Arabidopsis thaliana: one gene and its partners. The protein of the gene in region 2 purifies or fractionates together with the protein of the main gene of each other region. This does not show direct contact. Each region holds a gene or a part of one and is shown on either strand. Other genes may lie near its edges. The genes, in order: NPH3, PHOT2, PKS1 and PKS2.

Evidence for each region.
Region 1: the proteins of PHOT2 (region 2) and NPH3 purify together in Arabidopsis thaliana (affinity purification with western blotting, with the first as the bait; one study listed by BioGRID). This does not show direct contact.
Region 3: the proteins of PHOT2 (region 2) and PKS1 purify together in Arabidopsis thaliana (affinity purification with western blotting, with the first as the bait; one study listed by BioGRID). This does not show direct contact.
Region 4: the proteins of PHOT2 (region 2) and PKS2 purify together in Arabidopsis thaliana (affinity purification with western blotting, with the first as the bait; one study listed by BioGRID). This does not show direct contact.

Annotation. Positions count from the first base shown.
Region 1 is NC_003076.8:25,724,581-25,731,488, forward strand, and holds NPH3 (Phototropic-responsive NPH3 family protein), read left to right. Parts: upstream 1-2,545; 5' UTR 2,546-2,987; coding exon 2,988-3,124; intron 3,125-3,222; coding exon 3,223-3,292; exon of another isoform or gene 3,293-3,344; coding exon of another isoform or gene 3,345-3,374; coding exon 3,375-3,983; intron 3,984-4,069; coding exon 4,070-4,915; intron 4,916-4,995; coding exon 4,996-5,274; coding exon of another isoform or gene 5,275-5,325; intron 5,326-5,345; coding exon 5,346-5,645; 3' UTR 5,646-5,778; downstream 5,779-6,908. Other genes in the region: AT5G64320 (Pentatricopeptide repeat (PPR) superfamily protein), read right to left, coding at 1-859; transcription factor SAC51, read right to left, coding at 6,310-6,908. UniProt on the Arabidopsis thaliana protein: May act as a substrate-specific adapter of an E3 ubiquitin-protein ligase complex (CUL3-RBX1-BTB) which mediates the ubiquitination and subsequent proteasomal degradation of target proteins.
Region 2 is NC_003076.8:23,521,200-23,527,388, reverse strand, and holds the start of PHOT2 (phototropin 2), read right to left. Parts: upstream 3,565-6,189; 5' UTR 3,296-3,564; intron 3,260-3,295; exon of another isoform or gene 3,179-3,259; 5' UTR 2,844-3,178; exon of another isoform or gene 2,667-2,843; 5' UTR 2,619-2,666; coding exon 2,110-2,618; intron 1,987-2,109; coding exon 1,804-1,986; intron 1,723-1,803; coding exon 1,631-1,722; intron 1,505-1,630; coding exon 1,297-1,504; intron 895-1,296; coding exon 678-894; intron 516-677; coding exon 445-515; intron 316-444; coding exon 209-315; intron 123-208; coding exon 73-122; intron 1-72. Other genes in the region: ROS3 (RNA-binding (RRM/RBD/RNP motifs) family protein), read left to right, coding at 3,623-3,826, 3,961-4,140, 4,240-4,584, 4,682-6,189. UniProt on the Arabidopsis thaliana protein: Protein kinase that acts as a blue light photoreceptor in a signal-transduction pathway for photo-induced movements.
Region 3 is NC_003071.7:852,744-858,941, reverse strand, and holds PKS1 (phytochrome kinase substrate 1), read left to right. Parts: upstream 1-2,216; 5' UTR 2,217-2,473; coding exon 2,474-3,793; 3' UTR 3,794-4,865; downstream 4,866-6,198. UniProt on the Arabidopsis thaliana protein: May be responsible for light-regulated cytoplasmic sequestration of phytochromes or may be a negative regulator of phytochrome B signaling. Component of the network that modulates the very low-fluence response (VLFR) branch of phyA signaling.
Region 4 is NC_003070.9:4,874,861-4,880,124, forward strand, and holds PKS2 (phytochrome kinase substrate 2), read left to right. Parts: upstream 1-2,645; 5' UTR 2,646-2,796; coding exon 2,797-4,125; 3' UTR 4,126-4,447; downstream 4,448-5,264. Other genes in the region: AT1G14270 (CAAX amino terminal protease family protein), read right to left, coding at 239-280, 371-477, 564-655, 731-823, 898-947, 1,035-1,168, 1,252-1,334, 1,501-1,608 and 2 more. UniProt on the Arabidopsis thaliana protein: Acts predominantly in the phot1 pathway. Involved in the leaf positioning and also in the phot2 pathway controlling the leaf flattening. Component of the network that modulates the very low-fluence response (VLFR) branch of phyA signaling.

The DNA of each region.
Region 1 (6,908 bases), 2.2 Mb from region 2:
CATCAGGAACACATCCCATCAGAAACATCTCCTCTAAAAGCTGAAGCGCTTCGTTCACTCTATTACACTTCGATAACGAATGTATAAGAGTCTGGTAAATAACAGAGTTTGGGACACATCCATGTTTCGTCATGTCCCTAAGCAGAGACAGAGCCGAATCTATCTCATTAACAGCACAAAAAGCTTTCATCACAACACCAAATGTGAAAAGCGTTGGAGGAATCTTTCGGCTAAGCATATCGTAGAACACATTAGCTGCAACTTTATGACAATTACCAGAAACCAAAATCTCCAAGACAACATTGTAAGATTTAAAAGTGGGTTCACAGGAATAGACATTCCTCATCTCCAACATCAATCTCGTTGTCTGTCCAGGAAAACCAGCTTTGTCGTAATCTCTCATAATCGAAATGAAAAGAGATTCTTTAAAAACGATTCCTTCATCTTTCATCTGAATTAACAATCTATCAATGGTTTTAAACTCACCATTCGCACCAAGCTTACCTATAAGAACTTGATACACATCGAAGGAGTGACGATAACCGTTTTGAGAACCGGTCCATGAGAACAACTCCATTGAAGTGGATACATTGAGAGGTAACTCAAGTAGCTTATAGAGCTGAAAGGGAGTTATCTTGTGAAATGAATTCCTTAGAGAATCCAGATCGAATGGTTTAAGGAGCTTCTCCCATTCGTTTGCTGAATCGGTACCACCGATTTCCGGTGAGCTGCCGCCGCCATCATCTCCGCCGCCGCCGGAAAATCTAGAGGAGAGACTTGCGTAGTAGCAGATTCTTTGCAAAGACTGTGATCTTCTGCTCACATCTAGAGCTAGCTTTGATCTCGCTAGCATAACCATAAACCCCACATTAATCAGACAGAATCTCTCTGGTTCCTACGAGCGAGAAGAACTTTAGAACATCGGTAATTACCAATTTACCCTTCTGGTCTCTGAAACCTTATAAGTTAGAGGGCTCGAATATGTTTTATTCTTTTTATTTTGGGCCCTGTTTTCTTTGTTTTTATTTTGGGCCCCTTCTGAGCCCAAACAAAAACAAGAGAAGTAACCTTGAGTTGATCCTGGCCGTTAGATTTATTATAACGTTTTCCTTCAGCCGTCGGATGAGTATATCCTGTCTGATTTGAACCGACAATTTTATATTAGCTTTTAACATATGAAGGCGACGTGGCATTTGTATTACCACGACCATCATCAATAATGTAAGCCATAAAAAGATCACATGATTATTACTTTGTGTATTTAAAAGAAAAAAGATATTGATCTCAAGTGTTTTAACCCCTTGTAACAACAATCCAATCAAGATGTGGCCATTATATAATTATTATGGCATTGTATATGTGGGGGTAAGAGTTTTAACGTGGTGATTGGATTGGTTATTGAATATGACCATCAATCATTTTATCATATGGAAATGTTTCTATAGTACTATCTACTATGTGATTGAAACACTTTATAACATGAAAACATAACTAAAGAGGATTAGTTGTACAAAAAAGTGTTATCATTCTAATCTAATTACTGAAAAAAATTAAAATTGAAAGTGACTAATATTGTTGTACCATATGAATTCACAATTTAATATTTTCATCGTAAACGTTTGATGGTTTTCTTGTAGTAACACTAGTTAGATTTAACACATGAATACAAGCTGGTTCTGCAAATACTTTGCATAGAATCCTAAGTTACTTGGAGAATTCCATAACCTATTTTTTGTTGTTGTCGTAGGAAATTACCATTCTAATCAAAAGTTACTTGGAGAAATGCATGGTCTATATATAGTAGCAAAGAGAAGATTACGACTAATACATATATAACCATCGTGTGTATTAATGTACATAGCTGACATTCTTATGGACCACTTCTTCTATCTCGATCTCCATTTATGTATGTATGAACAACCTTTGTTTTTAATGCTCTCTTTTAAATTTCCTCTAACTTTTCCTTCTATTATCTTTGTCATCAACCAACAACCATTGAAAACTATTGTGAATACAATTTCTACAACATCATATGTTTATCTCTTGAAATAATATCTAATGTCATAACTTCTCAAAATTGATAGTATGACTTTAATCTACTTTTTGTAACCCGTAGGTGGTTAGTGCTTTTGAAAGTAATCACTTTCACATTTCAGTATTTATAGAGAACTCATTTAGATGTAACAGTAACTCAAGGTTTCTATAATTGGTATAGAACTAATCACATTGGAAACATTTATGAATTGGGGGAAAGAAAGAGGAATAATATGAAAGAAAGTAAGAGAAAAGATATGCAAGATTGAGAAGAGAAGTTAGGGAAATGGACCCATATAAGAGAAGCCTCAAAGAGGAAAAGAAAGCAAAGATACCAAAAGAAAGTTAAATGCAATGTACATAGAGATGATTCAACATTTTATCAAAAAACAGACAGGCAAAGAAGAAGGAACGAGGCTTTGTCATAGTTAATGACACTCACTCTCCAACTTGTCCCTCCCCAAATCTTATATATATATTTTATTTTTTTCTCTACTTAACCAACTCATATCTTCACTAAAAAACATACTACAATGTCAGTAAACTAATAATGTTTAATGTAAAATCTAAAAAAGACAGATTGAATTATATGATAAGAATGGGCAAAATTTATATCACTAAATTTCAAAAAAATTATGATAATTGAAGAAGCAGAGAGTTTTAAGCCCATTACATCACAGGCTGTTAGATATATGAGAGACTTTGGTTTTGAAAATCTCTCTGAGAAAATAGACAATTCAGAGAAAGCTCCAATTCTCGAAGCATCCCATGTGGGGATAATATCTCCCTCTCTCTTCTCTCTCTCTTTGCCACTCTCTCTTTCATCTTTATAATCAAAACTAATCAATCTCTCTTCTCTTGGAAACTCTTTGTTTCACTTTGATCTTCTCATCCTCTATATATCTTCCCTTGGTCCTTTCTTGCTTCCAACTACAGAGAGTGTTAACTTGTGTATGATGTGGGAATCTGAGAGCGACGGTGGGGTTGGAGTTGGAGGTGGAGGAGGAAGAGAGTATGGTGATGGAGTTTTGAGTTCTAACAAGCATGGCGGCGTCAAGACTGATGGGTTTGAGCTTAGAGGCCAATCTTGGTAATATCCTCACACTTTCTCTACAGTCTCTGCAAAAAGAACATGTTTCCTTGTTAAGGAAGTTAATACTCATATCAAAAACCTTTGCCTATGATTAGGTTTGTTGCTACGGATATCCCCAGCGATCTTCTGGTTAAGATCGGCGACATGAACTTTCACCTTCACAAGGTAACTTCATATTCTTGAGTCAATATTTTTAAGCTGGAACTAGAGAAAGTTTATGGATTTAAAAGTGTTTCTTTCCTTTCAGTATCCGTTGCTGTCACGTAGCGGGAAGATGAACAGATTGATCTATGAGTCACGAGATCCTGACCCGACGATCCTTATTCTTGATGATCTACCTGGAGGACCAGAAGCGTTTGAGCTTGCATCCAAATTCTGCTATGGAGTTCCCGTGGATCTCACGGCAACTAACATATCAGGATTACGTTGTGCAGCTGAGTATCTTGAGATGACAGAGGATCTTGAGGAAGGGAATCTAATCTTCAAGACAGAAGCTTTTCTCAGCTATGTGGTTCTGTCTTCATGGAGAGACTCCATCTTGGTCCTGAAGAGCTGTGAAAAGCTCTCACCTTGGGCTGAGAATCTTCAGATTGTGAGAAGGTGTAGTGAATCTATCGCTTGGAAAGCTTGTAGTAATCCAAAAGGTATTAGATGGGCTTACACAGGGAAAGCTCCATCTCCATCAACAACAAATTTCGCGGGTTCTAGTCCGAGATGGAACGAATCAAAAGATTCAAGTTTCTATTGTAGTCCGAGTAGGAACACTAATAGCCAGCCTGTTCCTCCAGATTGGTGGTTCGAAGATGTCTCCATCTTAAGAATCGATCATTTCGTTCGTGTAATCACTGCAATCAAGGTACTACTACACATAGGTTATTTTTCTCTCAAGCATTTTCACAAACACTTGGTGTACATATCTCAATCCTCTATCCATTGAAACAGGTGAAAGGTATGAGATTTGAACTACTCGGAGCTGTAATAATGCATTACGCCGGAAAATGGCTTCCGGGTTTGATCAAAGAAGGAGGAGTTGCAATAGCTCCAGCAATGTCCTCCGCCATTGGAGGAGGATTAGGTTTAGGAGGAGACGAAATGAGTATAAGCTGCGGAAGCAACAGCAGCGGAGGAAGCTCCGGACCAGATTGGAAAGGCGGTCTTCATATGGTTCTCTCCGCCGGAAAAACAAACGGACATCAAGATTCCGTCGCTTGTCTCGCCGGACTAGGAATCAGTCCAAAAGACCAACGAATGATCGTCGAATCTTTAATCAGCATAATCCCTCCACAGAAAGATTCCGTCACTTGTAGCTTCCTCCTCCGTCTTCTTAGAGCAGCAAACATGCTCAAAGTAGCTCCGGCGTTGATCACGGAGCTCGAGAAACGCGTAGGGATGCAATTCGAACAAGCGACGCTTCAAGATCTTTTGATTCCTGGTTATAACAATAAAGGAGAGACAATGTACGATGTTGATCTTGTTCAGAGATTGTTGGAACATTTTCTTGTGCAAGAACAGACGGAAGGATCGAGTCCGAGTCGAATGTCGCCGTCGCCGTCGCAGTCTATGTACGCCGATATCCCGAGAGGGAATAACAACAATGGTGGTGGTGGTGGTGGTAATAATCAGAATGCGAAAATGAGAGTGGCGAGGCTTGTGGATAGTTATCTCACCGAAGTTGCTAGAGATCGGAATTTGCCGTTGACAAAGTTTCAGGTTTTGGCTGAGGCGTTACCGGAATCTGCTAGGACTTGTGACGATGGACTATACAGAGCCATTGATTCATATCTCAAGGTATATATATATTGAAGGTCTTTTTGGTAAATTCGTAGAATAGTTTTCAACATTTTTTTGGCTTAATTTTGTTGTGATAGGCGCATCCGACATTATCGGAGCATGAGAGGAAACGGCTATGCCGAGTGATGGATTGTCAAAAACTATCAATGGACGCATGTATGCACGCGGCTCAGAACGAGAGGTTGCCATTGAGAGTGGTGGTTCAAGTTCTCTTCTCGGAGCAAGTCAAGATCAGCAATGCTTTAGCCAACACATCACTCAAGGAGTCAACCACTTTAGGAGAAGCCATGGGTACGTATCAGCCTATGATCCCAAATCGCAAGACATTGATCGAAGCAACACCACAATCGTTTCAGGCAAGTAAGAGAAAACACTCATCAAAATTCACACAAATTCCTTTTTTCTAATTCCTCTACTTTGAATGCAGGAAGGATGGGCTGCAGCCAAGAAGGATATTAACACGTTGAAGTTCGAGTTAGAGACGGTGAAGACCAAGTACGTCGAGCTTCAGAACGAGATGGAAGTGATGCAACGACAGTTTGAGAAGACGGGGAAAGTGAAGAACACGCCATCTTCTTCGGCTTGGACCAGCGGTTGGAAGAAGCTAAGTAAACTGACTAAGATGAGTGGACAGGAGAGCCATGACATATCCTCTGGAGGAGAACAAGCTGGTGTTGATCATCCACCCCCCAGGAAACCAAGACGATGGAGGAACTCAATTTCATGAAGTGATAGTGATGGTTTTGTATCTTCTTGATTTTGATTCTTTGAAAAGAAAAAGCTTTTGTTTGTTCCTAATTTGTAATGTTTATTGGTTTCTAATATGGAATAAGTGACATAAACGATTCGATTTTTATCACAAACCAAAAAACGCCATTTGTTTATTACAAAACCATTTAACAATACAACAATAGAGACACAACAATACCAGTAGCATGTGGGTTGAAGCAAAAGACAAAGGAATAGTTTGCATTATTACAGACACTCAAATTAATTACATGAACATGACATCAATATTTCATAAAAATCATGGACCCATCTAGTCATCATATGGACAAAAGAGTGTGTGTGGGTCAGAGATATTTTATTACCTTAGGGGAGATTCATAGATCACGCGAGCTTGAGATGAGACTTTGAATATTTGCCTTTTGATTTCACCATCCACACTCAGCCAAAAAAGATAATCATTGTCCATCAATGACCATGACGACTTTGGCTTTTCATTCCACACAGAGAGAAGAAGAAAGTGACCTCTTTTCTTCTTTAACTTTTTGAAATTTGCAGTAGCATATATAATACTTAAAAGTAGTCCACTATATACAGCTAAAAAGCTGGTGCAGAGGATACGTACCCAAAAACCCACTTCACACGTTTTAACTCGTCAGAATCTTTCACGCCTTATCTGTCTGCAGATTTCTTGTTCCCCATGTTGTCTCTTTAAGCAACAAGATTGGTGACTTGTGAGTGGTGGAGCTTTGGTTCTTAACCTCTGTGGAGATTAAGTCTCGTTTCAGCAACTTTAGGTAATCAATTGCTTCGTCCAGAAGTAAGAGCGCTTCGTTTCCTTTTGCACCAGGGACTACGCTCTCGAGTATTTTCAGAGCTGTGCGGATCTTGTCTTTCTTCGACTGCTCGTTGCTCAGACCAGAACCAGTGTCCTCTTTGGTCGATATGGTTTTTGATTCAGGGAGCTTTTTGTCCTTAAGAAAGGAAGATCCATTGAGTTGTGTGGAGCTCTCAGTGCCCACAAGTGATGATAAGTCGCTGATGTTGTTGACCTTATCCAGTAGTTTCTGCCTTTTACAAGGACCATCGATTTCTTCTAATTCCCTTTTGTTGCAAACTCCTTCATTTGGATAAGGAGAGTGACCAGTGCTCATTACTTCATCATCACTCTCGCAATCATCATCATAATCATCATCTGAATATAGCAATGCATTGATCTCCTCAGTGTCTTCATGCATTTCTGACTCTGTTCCATCACTCTTGT
Region 2 (6,189 bases):
CATGTAATCAGCAACAATGCACGGTTTTCTTCAAGAATCGGAATCCAGATATAACAATAATCTCACGAAGACCTTCTGATCACGCATAGGTTGCAAGTGGAATAAGTTCCAGAATTTCTTTCCTGCAATGGTTTAGAGTTTTAATGACACAACCACATAGAAACTTTTCAGTATGATCGTTTTAAAATGTTCAGTATCTGATAACTACCGCTTTTAGTGTAGTTTATCAACTGCACAGTAATCTCCCTCTGATCTCTAATTGCGTCTCTTATCTTCTGGACAGTCGCTTGATCTGTCTCTGGCCCCTGAAGAAACCTGAAGCCAACCACTTTGCACATATCCATATCACGAAACAACAAAAACGCAGCCGGAGAAGACTGCATAACTTAAAAGGCATGATAAATCTCATGAGTAGAAGATACAAAAAGAAGAATTTTCACATACCGACAATTTCTCCCCAATATTTCCTCGCGTGAATACTCTGTCAATTCAAGAAAGCTGTCTGATGCAAAGATCTGCAAATAAAACGATTTCCATTATCAATTCAAGATTATATGCTTACAAACATAGTAGAACACTTGAGTAAGAACAATCAATATATGAAATATACTCTACAATTGATACATTAAGGTTCGAGAAAAAAACGTTCATCTCAATTTTAGACAGAAAAAACATACAATGGGATTATCAGGGAGACGAGGATCACTGATGACGAAATTCTTCTCTATGCGCTCAAGAGTGGTAGCTAGATCAATCCCTTGGCGTATATCCCTTTCTCTATCCGATAGGTCCCAACTGTCCCTCTGCCCTATTACTTCTGTGCTCAACATCAATTCTTCGGGTTCCATACGTAAAAGATCTTCATGCCTGTTATTCGAGCTTTTGAGCTTTGACCTGCACATTACACGAAGCTAGATCAGAAATCCTTGAGTGTATATGTATACATATATATACACAGCTTCAGAATTCACTACCCAATCCATGTCAGAGGATACATTCTAAGGCCCAGCACAAAGTTACAAAAGTACACGAGAAATAAGAAACAGAACAATAGTAGGAGATTGCAACTGCATCTTCGTATTCGAATGGAAATTATCTATGAGTTAAATATTGACTAACACAACAACTAGATTGAGATTGTGTAGTATATATTTTACCACTATTTGGCAATGATAATAGCAAGTTGTTTCTGCAAAACTTTGGCACTGCCATCACACTTTTTGGGCAATATATATGCCTTATTTTATGTTCAGGAAGACTACTGTAATCTGGTGGTTAGTGGTTACGAAGACTCACCCCGTTGGAGTAGAAACACGTCCAGGTGTCCTGAAAGACTTTGAAGCCTCATCTGACTGTCTTGTTTGTCTACCAGGTGTAGGTGTAGTAGAACTATCAGGCTTTACCATAGTGTCATTGCTCACGGATTCCTGAACTTGAGACTTACGATGTCTTATAGTTTGCACAACCTCTGTGATGGAATCCAAAGCTTTCTCCTTCTGGCGAGCTGATATCATCATCAAAACCATTACATGTTAAAGATTGTGGATCAGCACTCTTTGCTAAATTATATCATTGTTTTTGGCTAAAAAAAACTTGTTGAATTAACGAAGAGATGCAAAAAAACAGATACCATCATATCGAATCAAGGATTTGGAGAGTCCATTAGGCCTCAATGCTTTATCATTTACCCCTTCTGTGTATTTGCTAACTTCAACCTGCATCCTGCAGATGGAAATGTGAAAATGATTGATCGAGGGACAGTCGATTAATTAGGGAAAAACAGGGAGGAATTAAGGGACGTACCCAATGAACTTGATGGTATTGCCCTGGTCGTCCTTGATAGGAGTGACTGTGAGAAGATTCCAGAAGGGAGTTCCGTCCTTTTTGTAGTTTAACAGCCTTCCACAGTAACTTTTTCCATTCTTGACACAATCTCTGATTTTGGCAACCTCATTCTTGTCGGTGTCTGGCCCTTGCAGAAACCGGCTGGCGTTTTACCCACAAAGATTAAGAGCATTTCAGAGTAAGTTGGCATGGGTTTCAAAAGCAATATTATTCTAACTAATAACTGGGAATGAAACTAGAAGCAAGATACGAGATGAGCAGTACCAGTTTCTTCCAACAATTTCCTTGGAAGAATAACCAGTCATGGTAAAGAATCCACTGCTGGCATAGACTATGGGACAGTGAGGCTGTGTAGCGTCAGAGACAACAAAAGTCTGCTGCAACGTGGATAGAGCAGTTTTGAGCTCCTGGGATACTCTAGGGAAGGCCCCTGATTCAGAAGATGTAGATTCTTCGGATGACCTCCTAGACATGTTCTTGCTTCGTTCCACTTCACTGGACAGCTTGAAACTAATGCCATCGTCTCCCGAATCCGGCTTAACAGCTGACAATCCCCATTCAGCGGTTCTTTCTGTAATCTTAGCGGAATCTTGAAACTCCATCCACTTACTACTACTACCTTTGTTGTTGCCATCAAGAGGAGGCTTTGAAGAAGAAGAAGTTGATCCATGTGTCTCTTTTCCACTCGAAGGGTTGAAAATCTCAAGAGATCTACGTTCACTTAATGACTCCGCATCATTCAAAGGAGATGGAGGGGCTCTTGGCCTCTCCATAACGTTTCTTTATTCTCTTTCTTATGGCGAAACAGAGTAATGAATAGTCTGCAAATCAAAACCAGACACCACATAGACAAGTTAGATAGAAAGAAGAGGCAGACACAACTGTAGGTTCGAGAAACAAAGTAATAAATGCCATTAAAAGTCTTTAGAAGCAAATCAACAAAACACGTTAAAGAAGGTGAAGTAGATAAAATAAATGAAAAATATATATATACCAACCAGAGTAGCTTTATCAGCTGCAACTCATGGAAATATAGTACACAGTCTTTAAAAGGAGCAAAGACGATGAGAAAGATAGAGAGATAGACCAATTAAAAAACACAACTGTACTGTTTCCAAAACCCAGTTATATTATTATTTGAGTTATTTTAAAAAGACAATCATGTTTCTGAGGCTGCAAATGAGCGATGCGGAAGCCTGGGAGGATAGACATCGCTATCAATAATCAAACTCACATGGACCCTTTTTCACCCTCAAGGTCAAGGACCACACAACTCTGTTTCCTCTTAATACGTGCACTCTTGTTCATCATTCCCTCTTCTTTCACAAATTTTCTTCATAATCAAACGAATTTATTACACCCCTCACATCAATTTTTCCAGTACAATAATTCAGACATGTTTCAATGTAAAATGAATAAACAATAAATAGATAAAACCCAGTAAACTTACGATTGTAGTAGAACAGAACATGCGCCATGATTTGATTAGACGAAAAATGAACACGTTTAAGAAAATGACTGTGGCTTCTTCTCTCCCAGATGCTTTCGCAGACGACGAATCCACAATTTGTTTCTTCTTTCACTGTCTGTTTCAAATAATGTCGATGAAATTAAAGAGAAGGGACCCCTAAAAACTTGTTAGGCCTTATTATTTTCCCGCTAAAAGCCCATTAAGTCCTAGTGGGTCTTCTCTAATGGGCCTTATTAGTTAAGATTAAGAAGTAAGGAAAGTGAGGGAGAGGCGAGGGAAAACTGAATCCAACTGAAGCAAGCAGCAATGGAGGAAAAAAGCAGCGGCGGCGGCGTTAGGCTTCACGTCGGCGGATTAGGAGAAAGCGTCGGGAGAGATGATCTTCTCAAGATATTCTCTCCGATGGGTACCGTCGATGCCGTCGAATTCGTCAGGACCAAAGGTCGTTCCTTTGCCTACATCGATTTCTCTCCATCTTCCACCAATTCACTCACCAAGCTCTTCTCTACAGTGAGTGAATTCGATCTCTCTCTCTCTCTCTCTCTCTCTCTCTCTCTCTCTCTCTCTCTCTCTCTCTCTCTCTCTCTCTCTCTCTCTCTCTCTCCTTACTCTTGTTATTCTTAACCCTAATTCGATTTTGGCAGTATAATGGATGTGTCTGGAAAGGAGGGAGGCTGAGACTGGAGAAAGCAAAAGAGCATTATCTAGCTCGCTTAAAGCGAGAGTGGGAGGCAGCGTCTTCTACCTCTGATAACACCATTAAAGCTCCCTCCGATTCACCACCTGCCACTCACCTTAACATCTTCTTTCCCAGACTCAGAAAGGTACTACTAATGCTCCTTCAAAGTTGTAACATTTATATGACATAGTTAGTACTAGGAGTAGTAAGAGATTAGGGTTTGAGCTACGTATGTGTGGTGCAGGTGAAACCTATGCCACTTAGTGGAACTGGTAAACATAAGTATAGCTTTCAGCGTGTTCCAGTGTCGTCTTCTCTTCCAAGGAGCTTTTGTGATTGTGAAGAGCACTCTAACAGCTCTCTCACTCCTCGGGAAATACATCTTCATGATCTGGAAGCGGTTAATGTGGGAAGACAAGAAGCCGAGGTGAATGTTATGAACTCGGTGATGAATAAGCTCTTTGAGAAAAACAATGTGGACCCCGAAGAAGACAATGAGATTGAAGCAGACCAAGATAACCTCATCATCAATGTGGCATCTAGTGGCAATGATATGGACTCAGCGCTGGATATGTTGTCTAGAAAACGGGTACGTAGTGCTACTTATATTTTTTCTATTATACTTAACCCAATAATGAGTCATCTACCTCATCCCTGATCTGGCTCTTTCTTTGATTGTAACTCAGAAATCAATTCTCAACAAAAAAACACCAAGTGAAGAAGGATATAGTGAAGGACGAAAAGGGAACCTTACTCATCCAAGCAAGAATAGGCAAACAATCAGCCTAGAGGAAACTGGAAGACAGGAATCTTCACAGGCCATACGTGGAAAGAAGAAGCCTTCTGAAGTGGTACCAGATAAATCATCGGATGAACCGAGCAGAACAAAAGATCTTGAGCAGTCAATCGACAATATTTCCTGGTCCCAAAAGTCTTCCTGGAAATCACTTATGGCAAATGGGAACAGCAATGATTTTAGTGTATCCAGTTTCTTGCCAGGTGTTGGCTCCAGTAAAGCAGTACAACCTGCACCACGCAACACTGATCTTGCTGGGCTTCCTAGCCGAGAAAATTTGAAGAAGAAGACGAAAAGAAAGCGTGTAACGTCTACAATCATGGCAGAGGATTTACCTGTATCAGATGACATAAAGAGGGATGATAGTGACACAATGGCAGATGACATAGAGAGGGATGATAGTGATGCTGTGGAATATTACACAGCTTGTGAATCTATGGCAGATGACACAGCTAGTGACTCTGTGGCTGAGAGGGATGATAGTGATGCTGTGGAAGATGACACAGCTATTGACTCTATGGCAGATGACCCAGCTAGTGACTCTGTGGCTGAGAGTGATGATGGGGATGCTGTGGAAAATGACACTGCTATTGACTCTATGGCCGATGACACAGTTAGTAACTCTATGGCTGAGAGCGATGATGGTGATAATGTGGAAGATGACACAGCTATTGACTCTATGTGCGATGACACAGCTAATGACGATGTAGGTTCAGACGACTCAGGATCACTTGCAGATACTGTTAGTGACACAAGTGTTGAAGCTGTCCCCCTGGAATTTGTTGCAAACACAGAGGGCGATAGTGTGGACGGCAAGTCGAATGTGGAGAAGCATGAAAATGTAGCAGAGGATTTGAATGCAGAAAAGGAAAGCTTAGTCGTGAAGGAAAATGTTGTAGATGAAGAAGAGGCGGGTAAAGGACCGCTGAAAGCTAGTAACAAGTCAACAGGAGGTTCTTCATGGCTTCAGAAGGCTTCGTGGACTCAGCTGGTTAGCGACAAAAATACTTCTTCATTCAGTATAACTCAACTCTTCCCAGATTTAACTTCAGACAAGGGCGAAGCAGCTGGAGTGATCAACAATGTAGGAAACCAGTTCTCCAACTCTAACCAGACTGCAAGTGCAATGAAACAAACAGATTACGCATCTAGCAGCGGTGGTTTTGTGGCTGCGGGAGTCCCTGTGGATAGTACCCCTGTGAGAAGTTTAGATGAGAATCGGCAGCGTCTGAATGGTAAGAATGTGAGTGAAGGAGCTAAATTGGGTGCGAAGAAGAAGATAATTAAGAGAAAGGTTGGGTCGGGGGATACTTGCACATTTATGAGAAGCTCGACTTCTTTGAAAGAGTGGGCAAAGGCTAAGAAGGCATTGAGTGAGCCCAGGAGAAAGAAAAATAG
Region 3 (6,198 bases), on a different chromosome or scaffold from region 2:
ATTTCCATCGTTCATTTGTTTCCATATATTGATCAGAAAATCAAAACAAATAGGTAGTTTAAACTACCATTAAAAAGGGATTTTGTGTGTGTTTGTTGCTTTTGGGACCTATCAGATTGTGTTTCTGGCTGTAGACTTTAGAGACAATTAGTGTGTTTTTCTGCAACTTGAAACGCCCCTATATTGCTAGCATTTGTTTACTGGGAGAGTTGACTCAAACCGAAATTATCAATCCTTAAATCCATAACTTTGAACAATATCAAAAATAGTTAAAGTTAAGTTAATTAGAGTTTTTTAATTGCCGCTTGATTACAACTTTTTGGAACACATTCCGGTTTGCAATCTTCAAAACTCTCGAGATATCTAAGAATTTTGTAAATTATGATTTTATATGCATATGGAAGCCTTTAGGATTACCAATCACCTCAGCTTTTGTAAATTACAATATGATTTTATATAAATATTGTAAAAGAGACATTTAAAAAAAAATCCTATATAATGATAATTAAAAATCAGATAACGGTACTAGAAAGTATACGTAGTACATCATAAATTGGTGATACCGTTTTGGTATATAATCAATTTTTATTAGTTTTGATATTTGTAGTCATGCTTGTGGTTTGTGGTAAATCTCATAATGATCATTTTTGTTTTAGTTGGACGAATAAAGGTTGTGGTTGAGAAACAAACACGTATGCTGTGGGATCAATTCGAACCATTCATACGTGATACGTCGACTATAGCAACTAATAAGCATATTTTATTAACTACATTACACAATATTCTTGATTGACAGATACATAGATTTTATGTTTGAATTAATTAATCTTTCGTTATGTTATATTTAACAAAAACAATACACATTATTTGATATGTATTATATGACAAGATACGATTCCATGAATTTTCTAATATACATTACACATAAATTATAGAGCGTACGTCAAATCATAACATAAAATATTACTATATTTAACAAAACCCAACTCGATGGTCTTTGTCAATATCTCCCCATGCAACAAAATACGTACATCCCTCGTGCTTTCTAAGTTTCTATTTTTGTATTTTTGTTCCTCAAGTGAAATCCATATCCACTACTTTTCTAGTTGAAAAAAGTTAGAAGTTAAAATACAAGTAAATCCAGATTCACTTGTCAGCTCAATCCTAACATGTCTTTGAAAATGTGTGTCCGAAAACTTGTCAGCCCATTATTAAGTATGTGAAACAATACTTTAATTTGAAGTAATTAAGAAAAACAATACATTAAATCTACTTTTTTTCTCATGTAAAACTCTTTGACACCATTGGTAAAATCCAATCATTTATCTTCCGATCTTATTGACGATGTCATTAATTTGTTAATTGTATGATGGTTAATAAGTTTATCCAATGTATGTTTTTGTTTAATTTATTTATCCAATGTATTATTTTATTTTAACATACAATGCTAATCAAAATTTTAGTTTAAGTAATTAAGAGAGTCCTTTAAGAATAATAAAAAAATGTTGGTTTATAACAGAGAGTCCTTTAAGAATAATAAAAAAATGTTGGTTTATAACAGAGAGTCCTCAATGCAAATCAGATTGTTTTAAACCTGCACACAATCCAACAAAATCATCTCTTCTTGCTAAAGCTAATCATCTCAATTATCTCACAAGGTTCAACAATCGTATGAATGTGAAGTATATAGCCATACACCCCCATCTGTAATTAACGTGTCCGAACGGATTGTACATTAGAGCACCTCCAATGTATAGGATTCATATAGTTTCTAAAAAAACAAAAAGTATTAATATTTTATTTTTATATCCAAAAAACAAAAAAAAACAACCTATATGAATAATAGAAACGATCCTCCCAATTTTAGAGATTCTCTCTCATCTCTTTTTTAATTTATAATTTTTTTTTGTAATTGTATGAGTTTCTACTAAAAAACTACGGTTGGAGTTGGTTTTAGTTGCTACAAATATAGTAGCAAATGTGTTTTAAATCGGAATCTTAAAAACGTATAGTAGTGCTAAACGTCTACGTACAAAATACGAATATTGAACGTATAAAAAAAAACACTTTCTGAAATCTGCAGGTTAGAAAATTATTTAAGAGATCCAGTTGCAATGTGAGTAGTATACTAGTACTGTTGTATTAATAAGTCCTAATCGAATTAAGACCATATCATTATAATTCCTTTCTTTTGTGGTCACGGGGGTAACATTATTTTTCGATTATTCTCCATTGATTGGCAAAGATTCATTATCCAAATATATAAATAAATCAGTTCACACACACAACAACTGGCCAATGACTCAAACTGGAACCCACTCACATTGATCAGATCATAACACTTTTAGCTTCAGAAAAAAAAAAAAAAACAGCTATCAAACATATCGTCTTGTTACTCTATTTATACCCTAATTCCACATATCTACACACAAGCAATAAAGAGAGAAAAAAATATAAAGCTACCAAAGAGAAAATGGTGACACTAACACCATCTTCTGCTAGTACCCCAAAAACATCTTTTGATTTCATGAAGAATAACAACAGTCACAGCAGTCTCTATGTTTCTTCTTCTTCTTACTTGAGCAGCAAGGAAGATGCTCTTGTCACGACCAAGAAGCTCATGGAACCAAGCAAAACACTAAACATGAGCATTAATCCAAAACAAGAGGAGTTTGGTGATGAGAAGAAAATGGTGAAGAAAGCTCCTGAAGATCCAGAGATTGGTGTGTTTGGAGCTGAGAAGTACTTCAATGGAGACATGGATTCAGACCAAGGTTCTAGTGTTCTGTCTCTGACAAACCCAGAAGTTGAGAGAACCGTCGTCGACTCGAAGCAGAGCGCGAAGAAATCTACTGGTACTCCGAGTGTCCGGTCTGAATCAAGCTGGAATAGTCAGAGCGTGTTGCTTCAGAACAAACTGGTGAATAGCTGCAACAGTTCCTTCAAGGAAAAGAAGAACAGTAATGGTCAGATTCAAAAGGTGACCAATAATAAGAAGAGTTTTCTCGCAAATTTGGGGTGTAAATGCGCATGCTCTGATGGGGATTCTGTAGATGTCGAGGAGAAAACCTCGGTCAAGAGAAGCGCTGATCCGAATATCTCTGTTATCACAATGAGATCTTCTGCGGATATGAACACAGAACTGATCAAGATTCAGAAGCAAGAGGAGTTATCACAGAGGAAGTCTCTTGAAGTTTTTGGATCTCCAGTGGCTATTGAGAAGAAGAGTAGTGTTGTTCAGAAGAAACTACCATTGCCTCCATGGAAATCGAGAACAGAGGAGGACGACACAAAGAGTGAAGGGAGTGATTCAAGCTCGGATCTTTTCGAGATAGAGGGTCTTACAGGGAACCCTAAACCTTTTCTTACGAGGCAAGGAAGTGATCCAGCTTCACCTACGTGTTATGCGCCAAGTGAAGTAAGCGTAGAGTGGAGCATAGTGACAGCAAGTGCAGCAGATTTCTCTGTTATGTCAGAATGTGCAACAAGTCCTGTAAGAAGAAACCGACCTACTCAGATTCCTCGAATCCCTATTACCGCTAAATCAGCACCGCAGAGACGGAAATCGAGTAGCAGCAGCGGAGGGAATGGTTTCTTGATGAGCTGCAAGAGTCATAAATCTGTTATGGTTTCTGGTGATTTAGACAGAAGAAGCAGCATGAACAAGACACAACCGAGTTACGTTCCTAGATTCCCAATGGAGACTACTAAACCTAAGAGTTTCGAAACACGAAGAAGGATCAGCAACAGCTCGATTTCTCACACACAATCATCTCTTCTTTATAGTCAGTGATTGCAAGAAAGTAAAAGAAAAAGATTTCAATCTCTGATCTCTCTTTATCTATAATTTCTACTGAGTGAGAAAGATATGTAAACTTATAATAATGTCTTGTTGAGTCCATGATCAAATCAATTTAAAAGGGTTTCTTAGAGACCTTTTGCACCTAAGAAAAAGTTACTCAAAGAGTGACAAATGATTGGAGAGTGAAAACAAAACATTATGGTCAGTTAAAAACACAGATCTCAAATTCAGCAAAATAAGCAGAGAGACATTCCAAAAATTGGCTCCACCAAGTTTTACCTTTTTTGGATTTAGTCTCAAGACTCAAGAGAGAGAGATATGAGTTTTGTCTTAGCTTGAAAGGGTTAAATCAAACGTACACTAGATTGACAGAAAGAGCTATTAATGAGGAAACTTAAATCAATGAAAGTGTCATATTACCTAACATATCTAAGATCTGGTCCTGAAACTCATCTAAAGGCCATGTATATGTCTGAAATAAAAGTAAGGTAGACAAAACCTTAATTGCTAGTTGACAATATGAGAGAAAAGAACCAAAGTGCCTTACTAAGACAATAAATGCAAAGAAAGATCAAAGATGTTTGTCTCTGTAGCCTACTCATAAGGGAAATGATCGAATTTACCCCAAATGATCTTATCCAGTTCACTGATATTTCTCTGTAAGATATTTCAAAAAGGGCTAATTAGATTTCAAGAAAAGACATAAATGAAACCAAGATGATGACATCAAAGCTAGTATAGCTAGTATGGGCTTAAAACCAAGAAACATACAGATCTTGAAGATAAGTATTGTACCCTTCTCAAAAGATATGAGAAAATAATTGACCACACTATATATAAAAATCTAATCATCTAACTACTTAGTTTTCATATGTGGATGAGAGAAGAACAACAAAAGCAAGAAGACATTTTGTGTTAAGAAAGCAAAACAAGATTACTCATCTTTGAATTCTTTGGTTGGACATTGCCTCAAAGCATCCGCTTGCTCTCTTTCGTCAAGTGAATAAAGGCAAGTTGGTAATGAGATGAGACTCTGATCCCACATGACAAAAAATGGCTGAGAGAAGTTTCTATTTAATTCCATAGAGTTTGTGGTGAAACATTCACTGTCTTGATGTGAAAGGGGTTCGTTCCTCAGGAGCCCACCAAGAGAAGGAGAAGAGTCTTGTGTGGTCGTTTGCTGCATCTCCATTACTTCATGTTACCAAAAGAATACAAAAAAACCCCAAACATAGGTTCAGGAACAGATGATGATTATAGAAATAACAATCTTATATTATCTGACAACAAAGTGGTAACAGTACATCAAAACTAGGATTCTTGACTGTCTCTAGCTATGTGTCAGTTCCTAATATCTTCCACAGAGAGAAGGAAATAATGATCATATGCCAACATAAAGAAAATCAAATCTTTTTAAAGCACCCCTAAGTGTATCATAACATGAGAAAAATAAACCTTTAAAGGAAAGATCACTCGATTTTCACAAAGATAACAATCACAGTGCTCTGCCTCTGATTACCAAGTAACGTTTAATGTTCAATTGCCCCGAGTGAAACCATTACCAGTTATTTCAAGAAGATCATAAACTCTACACTCTTTTTTGAAGAACCCATTGTTTAGATGTCGTAAGTAGTCCAGTTTCGTCTGAAATCTCTGTCTCTCTAAAGTATCCAATTCAATGAAATCAACAGGAATGTGGCAATGTGCCCATAAATCAACATTCAAAACATCGAAAACAAAGTCTCTTCTTTGGAAAAAAAAAAAAAAAAAAAAAGCCTCTTCTTTGTGTCTCTTTCCTAAACACAAAACGAACAAGCGCCACATAAACATAACAAAAGCAAATCAATTCATCATCTAAAACCGCTCCAAGAGAATCACTAAATTGTGATCAATGACGACGGTCCACGGCGAGATCAAGGAGACGGCGCCGTGTAAAAATTTCACCTTTGAATTTGATTGAGGAGGGACATATTCCACACGTGGCACCTAAAGAGTGGTTAATGATAAGTATCGACGCAAAGTAAGTATTTAACAATGATTAAATAAAAATATGAAACAAAGAACAATATTGGGCTTTCAAATTGGCGGGTTGAGCCAGGCCCATGCAGTAGTGCAACGCATGGGCGACTCGTGAAAGCCCAGATAGCAAGCTATCTTAACGGGCTTTCTCCCTTAAAAAATAGAGTTAATATCGTGTGGGCCGATGGCCCACATATCAGATATTAAACTGATAAGAACAGATACTACACTTGATCTTAGCCAAAAGGCCGAGAAAGGTATGAATGGTTTAGTCCATCAAGCTTCTTTTATATACACCAACTCCAAGAGTGAGCGATTAATTATTTAGCGATGTGGGACAATACCAAAACATTTTCTTAGCCTTCGGACAAAAGAAC
Region 4 (5,264 bases), on a different chromosome or scaffold from region 2:
GAGACACATAATTTGTAATCTGTGTAAATAAATTTGTTTTTTGTTCCAAAAAGATTCATCTCTACCATATTAGTTCATACATTACTGTCATGATGTTGTAATAAAGATAACTCTACCAAAACCCAAATTGCATTAAGTATGAAATCTGTTCTCGAATACAAAATATCTTACTAACATCGAGCACATAATGAAGCTTTTTGATGTTAAATGCGGACAGCACAAAGAGCATGGCTCAGAGCTAGTTTGCCTGCAATAGCTCCTTAATGTCATACCCTTGGATCTACAAAAAACAACAGAGACAAAACAAACATAAGCTAAGAGTTGATATGTTATTTTGACATTGTAGTGATCATAGGAATGAGTTTTCTACCTGAAGAAAAGTGAGTAGCAAAATAACTCCCGAGTTCCAGAAACCGTGTATGACCATTGGGGTAATGAGATTGCGGGTTTGTGCATATGATAATCCCAAAACACTTCCTAAACCAAAAGATACTTATTGTTCATCCAGAAATGTTCATAACCATGAGAAAATGCAAATGGTTTTGTTTTTAGTTATGTTTTACCTAGAATAAACAGCTGCGGGAATTCACCAGGTGTGAAATGGGCAAGGGCAAACGCAGCTGAGCTGATGATGATCGCTATTGGGGTCGGGACCCTGAAATACAGAACGTAACAAAATGTAGTAAGCTTTTGTCCAGAACCAAATGAGAAAAAAGAACAGAGGTTTTACCATTTGGTAAGAGAGACCATGAAGAATCCGCGAAACACGGTCTCCTCCAGAAGTGGAGCAAGGATTCCAGTTATGCCCACTAAGCTTAAGGTGCTGTATTATGTGCAATGTGTGATCAAATTCTAGTATTAACGCACATCGCAGTTTCTATTTCTTTGAGGAAATACCTTATGTTTGAGGATCCAATTAATGGAAGAAGCTTCATCAAAGAGTCTACCTGAAAACATCACACTAGGCCTCATTACTATTATCCAACAAATATTTCGAAAACAAAACATAAAGCATGGTTTTGAATTCTCCTAACCTCCCTTTCAGGTGCTTCTGTCCTGAACACGGATAAAACAACACCTGTTAACGCAATAGCACCAACAGCACCAACCAGACCGATTCCACCCCACACAAGCCATCCTTTTTGCAGGTTGACGGGTTGTCTCAAATCTGACGATCGAACAAACAGTCAACTACCAATAAAAGAGCAAACCATGCTGATAGAAAAAAAAAAAAAAAAAAAAAAAACGTACCATAGCGAAGAATATCTTCAGGAAGTGGGTCGAAGGTTTTGGCAACAGTGAATATGACAGCAAGTACCACCGCGGTTGTTAGGCTGCCAAATATTTAGACAATGTTATTCAACATAAGCCAAACCTCAAGAGAGATAACTAATTTTACAATGTGAAATCAGCTAAAGCAACGAGATTATATAATGAGTTTACATTAACAGAGTAAAAAAGAGCAAAGAATACACAAAAGAGTAGTATTTTTTTGGTTACCCTTGATCCAGGAACAAAATCTCCGCCTTATCGTCCAAGGTCAGTTTCTCAACGTCGATTCCTAAAAACGGTATGACTGCCATCTCGGTTAATCCTGTCAAAACAAAACTGCCTGGGAACAAAATTAATCTCACTCCATGCATTACACAGAGAATAGTCACTGAACATTAAACTATTTAACCATAACAGAGAGATTATCTTTCAGATCAGTCTACTCAACCATCACATTTATCTTAGCACACAGTCTATGTACTTTCATCAAACTCCAACCCTAAAGTCATCAAAAGGGAAAGCTTTTGATGAGAGTACCTTAGTGCACAAGCAAACGAAGTTAACGAAACTGTCTGCCATCCCCATGGAACTTCCCATCTCTGAAGTATCGGCCACTCTGAGCTACCTCCTTGTAACTACAACAAATATAACAATCAAAACTTCAAATAATTTCTCAAAGGTCTAGTCTTTTTTCACATTCCAATAGAATTTGGATTCAATTGAACAAGTTACATAGAGCTGCCTCAGAAAAATTCAGACCGGAAACTAAACAAGAATCTAATTTAGATAGAGTCAGTGAGACAGTAACCTTTCCCTCTCCTCCAGGTTCCTTTCCAGAGTTGAAAATGCAGGCCGATCTCCATTTCTTCCGATTAACCGTAAATAACCGGCGGCTAGCAAATCCTGGAGAAAACCGGCTCAAACCGCCGTAAGTACAAGTCTTCGGAAGAATTAACCTCCTTGAATCGGATAAACATAGAAGAGACGAAGATTGAGATAAACACGAGATTATCTGAGAAACCATTTTGAAATTTTCTGTTGTTCTTAGAGAACTTCCACACATGAACCAACACGATTATCAGATTGAGGAAGAGGATAAGATCCGACTAAAACGAGCGGGTAGAAAAAAACCGTTACTTACTTAAAATAACGTTGTTTAAGGCCCATTTATGTCAGTATAGGCCCAAAGCCCATTAACGACCAACTAACTCGACGACAAGTCTTTGTCAGTATATCACAAAATACGTACATCCCTCGTGTCTTCTAATTTGTAATTTTGTTCCTTGGGAGAATCATGTCCACTATTTTTCTTTTTTCATTTTCCTTATAACCAAGACAAAATATAATTAATATTTTGTTTATACATTAGCACAAAATCACTGGCAAATAGGCAGTCTTGTCCCAGTAATGGAACCCACACGACATAGCTTCAAAAAAAAAACAAGGAACTTCCTCATTTCTTCTATTTATATTACTCAAATCTAAATCATCCCTAAGAAATAGTAATACACAAAAAGAAACAAAATGGTGACCTTAACTTCATCTTCTTCAACTCCAAACGTATCTTTTGATTTCATGATGAACAATAATAATAACAGTAACAATCTCTATGGTCCTTTCTCTTCTTCTTCTACTTCTTTCTCTTACTTGACAAGCAAGGAAGATGCTCTCACCCAGAAGAACCTAATGAGTGGTATCACCAATGATGTTCTTGGAATTAACAAGAAAGCTTCTGAAGATTTGGAGATCAGTGTGTTTGGAGCTGAGAAGTACTTCAATGGAGATATGGATTCTGACCACAGTCCTAGACTTGTGTCTCCTCTGCCAGATCCAGAAGTTCCAATAGAGAGAATCTTTGTTGGTCCGAAGCAAAGCTCGAAGAATTCCTCGGAAACTCCTAGTCTTCGGTCTGAATCCAGTTGGAATAGCCAGAGTTTGTTGCTTCAGAGCAAATATGTAGAGAAGAAGAAGAACATCAAGAAAAACTCTAGTTGCAACAGTTACTTTCAGGAGAAGGATATGAGTAGCAATCACAAGGTGAGTAATAAGAAGAGTTTTCTCGCTACTCTTGGCTGCAGATGCGTGTGTTCGAACTGGAGTTCAGTGGATGTCGTCGACGACAAGAGAAGAAGCTCTGGTCTGAAGAAGATCAAGACTCAATTGAGTTTCTCTGGAGATCTAAGCTCGGAGATGAAGATTCATCAACAACAACAAGAAGCAATGCTAGAGCAGAGGAAGTCTCTGGAAATATTTGGATCTCCTCTTATTGAGAAGAGAATCATTCAGAAGAAATTTCCATGGGAATACTCGAGCTCTGCGAAAAAAGAAGAACATGGATTCTCTGTGAAGTATGAAGAAGAAGAAGATGGGAGTGTGAGCGATGTAAGTACGGATCTTTTTGAGATTGAGAGCTTAACAGGGAAGGCAAACCCTTTTCTTGCAAGGCAAGGAAGTAGTGATCCAGACTCACCAGATGGTTATGCACCAAGTGAGGTAAGCATACAATGGAGTGTAGTGACAGCAAGTGTAGCAGATTTCTCTGTTATGTCTGAATGTGCTACGAGTCCCGTCAAAAAGAACCGGTCTTTTCAGATTCCTCGAATCCCTATCATGGCAAAATCAAACCGAGAAATCGCGCCTCAGAGACGGAAATCTAGCAGTAGCGGTTTATTAATGGGATGCAAGAGTCATAAATCTGTCAGAGTTTCTGGTGATTCATACACAAGCATGAACAGAACACCGAGCTATGTTCCAAGATTCCCTGTAGAAGCTAATCCAACAAGCACTGAAACAAGAAGGAGGATCAGCAGTAGTTCTGTTTCTCACACGCAATCGCCTTTTTTGTATACTTAATTATGCCAAAAACCTGAGCTCCTTTCGTTTTACATGTAAAATGTCTATTGAGTGGAAAATATTTGATTTGCTAATACCATCTTCATATTGTTGTACCTGAAAACAGTAGTTTTTGATTTAACTGGTTTATTAAGGAAGAATGTCGATAGAGAAGTGTAAATCAATCTGTATCATCAATCAATACTTATCTGCTGACCACAAATGAGTAAAAGATGAAATGTGATGCCAAGAACTCATCTATTGTTGCCAGAGATTATAAGGAACTGCACCATGTGAACAATAGACACTTGGGTCTAATCCGCAAATAAGACATAACCAAGAGTGCAATTCCATGTGAAATATTAAGATGTGATTGTAACCTTTTGTTGACTTAGGAGACATAATTAAATGCAGCACGTAGACTAGACACAAAACACATTTGGTCCACCTCATTTTCATGTGCTTGTCTCAAGAATAGAAAGATAACCTCATTAGGCTTAGATTTAACGGTTTAATCAAAGACCGTACGAGTTGCCTAAAAGAGCCTTTAATGAGGAAACTCAATCAAACAATGATAGTGTCCTTTCACCTAACATGTCTTAAAAGCCACTCCAGAGTCTTCTGGTCCAGAACTCATCTCCAGTGTCAAGACCATGTGATGATAATGAGATAAAGTAGACGTCGACAAAACCTTAATTGTGTCATTGATGATGATATGTCTCTGTAACCAACTCAGGAGGAATGTTAGGTTTTGGGAAAAAGATTGATTTGTCATACAGTTTAAAGTTTTAGTTCAAGATTCAGATCTTACAGCTGGATCTAATCAAGAAACAACCTTTTGATATTAAACCCAATCAACCATGTCACAAAGTATCAATAGATCTTGAAGATAAGTATTGTATCCTTTTCAAAGGTCCACTTTTGAAATAATTGAACAGTGACTTCATTTAGTCTATGAAACTAACTATATAGAGAAAAACTACCCCGTTGCTGCCATGTTTGGAGAGGATAAGAACAACAAAAGCGAGAAGCCCTTTGCATAAAAGAAAGAATCAACGACTCTGCGTATGTCAATTCGTAACAAAGGAGATCAATGAGACTCTCACAGGTCTCAAAACCTGGAATTATAAAGCAGATAATAATAACAGAGAAGATCTGAA